Ovis aries: one gene and its partner. The protein of the gene in region 2 interacts with the protein of the main gene of each other region in a pairwise test. Links are inferred from orthologs where the notes say so. Each region holds a gene or a part of one and is shown on either strand. Other genes may lie near its edges.

Region 1 (3,650 bases), on a different chromosome or scaffold from region 2:
GCATCTAGGTGTCAAGGAGGGGTTTCTGGCCCCTGTGGCTGCAGGGCTGGAGGACTAGGCAGACCTCTGATAAAGCAGCAAGCAGCAGACTAAGGCACCAAGCCCCAAGGCTAGCCTAGACTCTATGGACCTGTATACATGGCTACAGAAGTCAGGAAGAGCTGCTTTGGGGTATTTGAAAGGGAGAACAGTGGAGAGGTGGGAGTTGAAAAATATCTCTTTCCCTTTCCTATCCGGGTGAAAAGGTTGCTTTGGGGTGGGGTAGGGGAATGGGGGGCATTTGGGAATACTAAACACAAGAGTCCTAGGAAAAGCAGGTGTGGATCTCTCCAGCCTAGACTGAGTCTGGCTGGAGGGCAGAAACTACTTGTATTTCAGAACAAAGAATAAGAAAAATCTGCCAAGAGAAAAACAGTGCTGACCCAGGGCTGTCAAGGCAAGTCCTCAGGGTCGTAATGGCTAATAACTGCTGGTGACTGTGATGAGCCACACCCAGCCATTTCAGACAGACCACCTCCTATGGCAGCATTCCCAGTTAAAAACTGGAGCTTAGCTGGTATGAGCCAGTTCCACCCACAACATGATCTGTAAATGCATGGGAAAAGATTCCCAAACGATCTGCCTGCTGAGCGCCATCATTGGGCTCATTACTATAATGCGTTTAATAATAGCGTGATGACGTTATTACTAATGATGATGAGAGCAATAATCCTTGACCCTGTGAGAGCATTCTCCATCTGAGGACCTTTAATTACAAACACTGAATAAGCCTCACAAACAACCCTGCTCAGTAAAGCACTCTTACCCCCCACTTTTCCGATGGGATAGGTGAAGCGGAGTGGCAGGTACTTCAAAGGCACGCACTAGTATCTGAGTCAGAGGACAGAACTACACCTATAGGTCCTGACTCCTAGCTGGCTTGCTCTCCCTTCACATGTGAGAAAACTCTTAATAGCCACTCCTCACAACATGTCTATGACACCCTGCGTTTATTTATGATCTTCAGTCACTGAAGGAGCAACCCTGGCCAGTGATTCTCACTTGTGGACGTCCAGCTCCACTCCCCTGAGTCTCAGGTAGACTGCTGAGCTAACTTCCCCTCTGGCATCCTGCTCCCCTTAGAGTCTACTCTCACACACACACTGTTCTGCTTCCACTTCGACTTCAGCTCTGCACACAAGGAAATGGAGTCATCATTCCTGTAAAGAAGTCAGTTTCCCAGGACAAAGAGAGCAGACTGAAGCTAACAAGTTAAAAAGACATGCAAAAGTGGAGTGAGGGACAGACAGGGAGAAGGGCCTCACTGTTCAGTGAAATTATTTTAGAAACTGCAAGAAAAAGATTACTTTGTCTTTCATTTTAAGACAGTGGTTAGTGAACGAAAGACAAGACAGCCTGTGTGAATACAGCAAGCCCAGGTGGTTCAGCTAGGACTCTGCACAAGGGATCTCTCATCCAGAGCACCCAGCGTGCAGGCAGGCAGAGAACCGCACCAGCAAGAACTGCTATGAGTGGACAGAAGCACTGGGGGAAGACTGGTCTGTCCCTTCTCTTTAAGTCAGCCTCCTGGAAGACCGTATTCCTCTGGACCCGACTAAGGACCTACTTTTGCTGAACTCAGGGACACACCCCACACCCGCCCCTCAATCCCCCACAACACATACTTGATGCTGTCGGTGTGGGTTTTGTATTCCATAATGGTGTTGGGAGGTAGGTTAAGCACTCGCCGAAGCGTATCCCGTATGCGGGCCGTGGTGGCTTGATCGCTGGCAGTCTTATTCCATATGGAAATAATGTCCTCCTACAGGAGGGACGACAGAAGCATTCATCAAAGGAAAGTGAGGCAGTGAGAAGAGCAGAGGTAGCACGCGTGAACGCAGCCCTGCCCGCGAGGCGGCTTACCTGGAAGCGGACAGAGACCACAGCCCCGCAGATCTCCTCCCCAACCATGAACTGCTCCCCCAGCATAGCCAAGATGAGATTCTCCCAGCAGCGGGAGGCCAAGCCCTTCCGCAGTCGGATTATCCACTTTCCGCCATTTTTATTTGCATCATCCTGTAAAAAAAAATGTATTAAAAGTTAACATATGGTCTCGTAGCATTAGGGCCAAGGATCCACGATCACTGAGAAGTCTTGCTGTTTTCCAACTATTCAACTCTATAGGAAAATGTGATAGGACTACAGGCAGAAGAAACAAGAAAAAAGAAACACAAGATGGGGATCCTTGCAACCAGCCATTAAAGAAAAACAGCCAAACAGACCCTTTAAACTAATCCTCTTTTGGGAACTCCCTGGCGGTCTAGTGGTTAAGGCTCAGCACTTTCAGTGCCAGGGTCTGGGTTCAATCCCTGGTCGGGGAACGAAGATCCCGCAAGCCACACAGTGTGGCCAAAACCAACCAACCAACCAACCCTCTTTTTTGAAAACTACATTAAAACGAAATAATGTCAGATTTCAAACACAGATCATTCCTTACTTCATTTGCTAAAAGTTTATCAAGTGTCACCATGTCCCCAAATACAGACATGAAGTCACAATCTCTACTCAGATCCAGTCTAGTGAAGCAGACAGACAAGAAAACTAATTACAGTAGTATAGTCTGACAAGTACTCCTGTAACAGAGATACATACAGGAAGTTTATGAAGAACAAGACAGTCAGAAACAACCAGAAAAAGGAAAACATTTCAGCTGGGTTGTAAGGGACACAGGAGCTAGCCAGGTGAAGGGCTCTGTGGGCACTGGGAAGGACACGGCTATGTGCAAACACTGACTGTGAGGCAGAGACCCAAAGAGGAAGATCTAGCTACACTGAAGGGCGGATCTGGAGAGGACAGGTGACAAGTGCTGAAAGGTCATTAGGTGTAAGATCATGTGTGCAACAGAAAACTGCATAAGATTTTTCATTAAGGTGTGTTTGTGTGTGGCAGGGGCGGGGGTTCCCTGGTGACTTAGATGGTAAAGAATCAGCCTGCAATGCAAGAGACCTGGGTTCGATCCCTGGGTCAAGAAGATCCCCTGAAGGAAGGAATGGCTACCCACTCCAGTATTCTTGCCTGGAGAATCCCTGTGGACAGAGGATCCCGGTGGGCTACAGTCCATGGGGTCGCAAAGAGTCAGACAGGATGGAGTGACTAATGACTAAGCACAGCACCGCACGTGTGTGTGTGATCATGTCTGTCTTCTGGAAGAATGCTCTGGCATCAGAACAGAGAAGACGGACTACAGCAAAGAGATCACAGAGCTCAGCTCTGGGTCTCTGGTGACTGCCCCTAAGCTTATTTTTACACACATTAACCATATGTATCCTACGGTAATATATTACACACACACAAAACCAGTCTATGGGAAGAATAATCCAAAAAAAAAAAAATCCTTCAATGTTGCTATAGCACCATGTTAGTGAGAAAACAATCTTTGAAAACCATCCACACAAACAATGGAATCGGGGCTTTTTCCTAGAGTTCCCATTTCCAAAGATATACCAAACTGCTACGCAGCTTTCAAAGAAGACTTTAGCCAACACCTGGCACTAACCCCCAAACCAAACAAAAAACCCCAAAAAACAGAAAACTTCCTCAGAAAAACAGTCTAAGGCTCTCAGTTCTCACCTCCCACATGGGTTTAATTCCTTCTTTGAAGAGATGGAAGT
Region 2 (3,650 bases):
TAGTCTGACTTCTCCATGAAGGAAAAACCTAAGGAGCCAAATTAATTTTTTTTCTGTTGAATTTCCCAAATAAGGAAGATGACTAAAGAGCTGGATCCAATTTAGTTCTCCAGAGAAAAAATACAAAACTGTAACATAAACCTATTTATCCAGAAGGGCAGCTGGATAATTACCTTCCACTTGTGTCCTTACCACTCCCTGAAAAAAGCATAACAAATCAGCACATTTCTTTTTAAACTCTTCAAGGGTACCAACGAAAGAGACTTTGCCAGTTTTAGGAGATGGGTATACCGAGGGGAAGGAGAAGGGAAATGACAGATGGACACCTCTGCACAAGAGCATTTACCAATCGGTGACGGTATTCTGGGACGAAGGTAGTCTGCAGAGGCCGCTCTCGTCTGAAACACCTGTGACAACGGAGGAGAGGGTGCTCTCTGGCCCAGTAATGATGTCGTAGGCTCCAAGCTCCCCATAAGGCCACTCAGGAGATTGGAAGAAGCAGGTCTCTGAACAGGTGGGCCCAGAAGTTCCTAAAGGCAGAAAAGTCAAATCCTGTGAGCAAACCTAGTTCTTCTTCCTACTCAGAGGCTGTGGATTATGAATTTGGAAGCCAGTGATGAGTCTCCCTCCTGCTTCACTGAAGGACTTGGCACATGTACATGCAACGACTTCCTCTGAACGCTCAGCTACCAACATTTGCTTCAAGTTAGTGCTACAGATATGGGTTAGATACTTTAAATTTCCATAGAAATTGCAAACCTGCAAACGGGAAACCAAGGCTTTACGCGATCATCTTTTTTAGCCACCAACCCACCCCACATTTATAGCTACAGAGAGCTATGTCAGGCAGCAAAACTGTATCCTTCGTTGCTAGGCAACACGGATCAGTCTCTACGGCCCAAAGCTGGCCCACTACACAAAACCAGTTTGGAGGACTACTGTTCAGGACTCCAAGGCCTTGGTATAAGATTGTGAAGTACCTGCAAGATGTTCTTAGGGACAGGCTGGCCTGGAATCTCAGCAGGGGACATCAAATGGCTTTCAAGGGTTCGCTAAAAAAGTCAAAGGAAAACTGGTTTTAACCTTCTCACATACTTAGCTTATAGATTAATTGGGGACCACAAGAAAACACTGACAACTCCCCAGGGAGTTGGCACTTAACAGCAGAATGATGTCCAAATCACAGAAAACTTAGATCAACTTGCCCCACTTGTCACACAGGTCTCAGTGACCTCGGAACAGGAAGGCTTCTCACACGTACATGCAAAGGCCACTCAGAGACCCTCAGACAAGGTTTTTTCCTCTCTGGTAACCCTAAGTCCATTTCACTGTTTCTAACATTGCGTCCAAAAGAAGGGAAAAAGAAAATGGCGAAACGGGGGGAACACTTGTTTAGTAAGAGGCCACAGGTAGGAAATTTTGATAATTTACAGATTTTAATGTTCACAGCAACCTTTGCTTGCTATTATCTTTAACAAGATTTACAGATCATAGATGGTACCAAAAAAATGCGAGTTCGGCCAAAATCGTTATATTTCAGAGTTTCATATTTTAGGAAATTTAAACTTTATTATTTTTAAGCAGCTATTCCAAAGTGGGTCTCCTATTCAGGATGAAATTAAAATCTTCCACTTTCGATTCTTTTAATGCAGTAGCAGTTATACTTTGCATCCAACTTATATTACCTCTGGTGCTTCAGGACACCCTTGTGTGTCCATTTAGCTCTGGCTGAAGTGCTTTCTCTGTCAAGTTTCCCTTCCACCAGCGGGAACTGCGAAGGTCCACAGCAGTGTCCTCGGGCATGACAAATAGCCCCCAAGTATGCAAGTGTTTCATTGTTGATTTTGGAATTGGAATGGACTGTAAATGATTTTAATAAGATCTCCTCAAGAGTCATTTAATTCCAACTAACAAAAACAAAGACACAACTTTATACTAGGTGGCTTGCTATATTTGGAGGATAGAGTCTACAACTTAATTTGAAATACAGCTTAGACTGAACCAATATGTCTTCTTTTGGGGATAAACAACATGACTGAACCAGAATGGCTGGAGGCAGATCAGAAAGAGTATACGTAACGCACACAGCTGTAGTCACTGAGAGCCTGGAAGCAGCCTGTGACAAACACCAACATGCAAATTAAGCAGTATTTTGGGATAACGCCTGGTGTACTTCATAGATTATTTCCTTGTTTTTTTTTTTTTCCTAGATTGGGTTTGTATTCCCCTTTGCCTAGCACCTTAAATTATATCATCCACTCCTTTATGCACCTGTTTGAGGCTCATTCCCTCAGCTGAAGCCAGATATATTTCAGAGCACTGAACCCCCAACATCAAGCAAGTTATCTTCACAGCTCAGGGACAACTGTGTTAATATCAAACCCTAGAATCACATCTAAAACAAAATGTTCAAAAGCCTCATCGGGTAAACAGTCGAACCCACCCCCACCCCCACTCCCATTTCTTAACTAACACTAAAAGAAGCTATTTATAAGATTTGACCCACCCTGCTGTAGTCAGCACCTAATCCCCAAGACACAAAGGCAATAAGCAGCAGAGGACTGTTTACAGCCAAGCGATCTGGTCCTCATTTGAAAGCATTTACACCTAATAGTTCCTTGCATGGAAATTATTTAAAGCAGCTTACAAGGAACATTCCCCTGTAACTGGCATGGTGTGGTCAGATACACAAGAATAACTCTACCTATCTGAGATGTCTCCTTCTGGAGGTAGAGAGGCAGGTAGGTAGGCCAGGAACAATGGTATCTCTGTTAGGATTGATCACTAACAGCTAGTCAGATTCAAAATAGCAAAAATCAGCTGTTCTCCCTTGGTACACGGCACAATGAAACACATGCTTCCCCCATGGTTAACCAGTAGTTCCCAGACAAGAAGGTGTCAAGAAAAACAGGCAAAACTCAATTTGGTAAATTTGAGATAACTTAGCAACTAGAGTAAGTCTGTGTTTTTTTTTCAAATTAATATTATTCGATTTACTGTTTCCCTTTCACTCTGTAATCATCAAGGGTTAGCAATAGTAACACACACCATGCCTGAGAGGCACCCTCTAAATGTGTTATGGGGAAGACCGGTATGGGCTACACACCTGCATTTACTGACATACAATCACCTTGTAACCCAACTTAATGCCTAAAGGTGTTTTATAAGTTTGGAGTCACAGCTTTTTCTATTAGTAAATAAACAGAATGCAATTGTCTTGAAAAATCCATCTTAGATACTTTACAAATGCCATGAATATCTGTCAAATACCTAATCAAGAAGGCAAATAATCCCAGGTATCTGGGAGTAATTAGTAGTAGTGAAAAGACTTTACTATAAAAATATGGTAAAATTATTTTAACTTAAGTAGCTGAATAAGGGCTTCCCTGGGGGCTCAATGGTGAAGAATCCTCCATCGCAGGAGATGCAGGTTCCATCCCTCGGTAGGGACGATCCCCTGGAGAAGGAATGGCAACCTACTCCAGTATTCTTGCTGGGAGATTCCATGGACAAAGGAGCTGGCGGACTACAGTTCACGGGGTTGCAAGAGTCAGACACAACTTAGCGACTGAACAACAACAAACAGCTGAATGAACAGAAAACTTTCTCCAGAGTTCTTCCCCAAAGGCATTTTTACACCATTTTTTTTA

The links. The genes of interacting proteins can lie anywhere in the genome.
Region 1: the proteins of EIF4ENIF1 (region 2) and EIF4E2 interact in binary tests that used the Homo sapiens proteins (3 or more experiments, as listed by UniProt). The two-hybrid records come from large-scale screens. The link is inferred for Ovis aries from reciprocal best matches to the Homo sapiens genes EIF4ENIF1 and EIF4E2.

The regions. Positions count from the first base shown.
Region 1 is NC_056055.1:234,174,202-234,177,851, reverse strand, and holds part of EIF4E2 (eukaryotic translation initiation factor 4E type 2), read right to left. Parts: coding exon 3,610-3,650; intron 2,056-3,609; coding exon 1,903-2,055; intron 1,802-1,902; coding exon 1,665-1,801; intron 1-1,664. UniProt on the Homo sapiens protein: Recognizes and binds the 7-methylguanosine-containing mRNA cap during an early step in the initiation. Acts as a repressor of translation initiation.
Region 2 is NC_056070.1:70,102,745-70,106,394, forward strand, and holds part of EIF4ENIF1 (eukaryotic translation initiation factor 4E transporter), read right to left. Parts: intron 1,053-3,650; coding exon 981-1,052; intron 531-980; coding exon 347-530; intron 1-346. UniProt on the Homo sapiens protein: EIF4E-binding protein that regulates translation and stability of mRNAs in processing bodies (P-bodies). Plays a key role in P-bodies to coordinate the storage of translationally inactive mRNAs in the cytoplasm and prevent their degradation.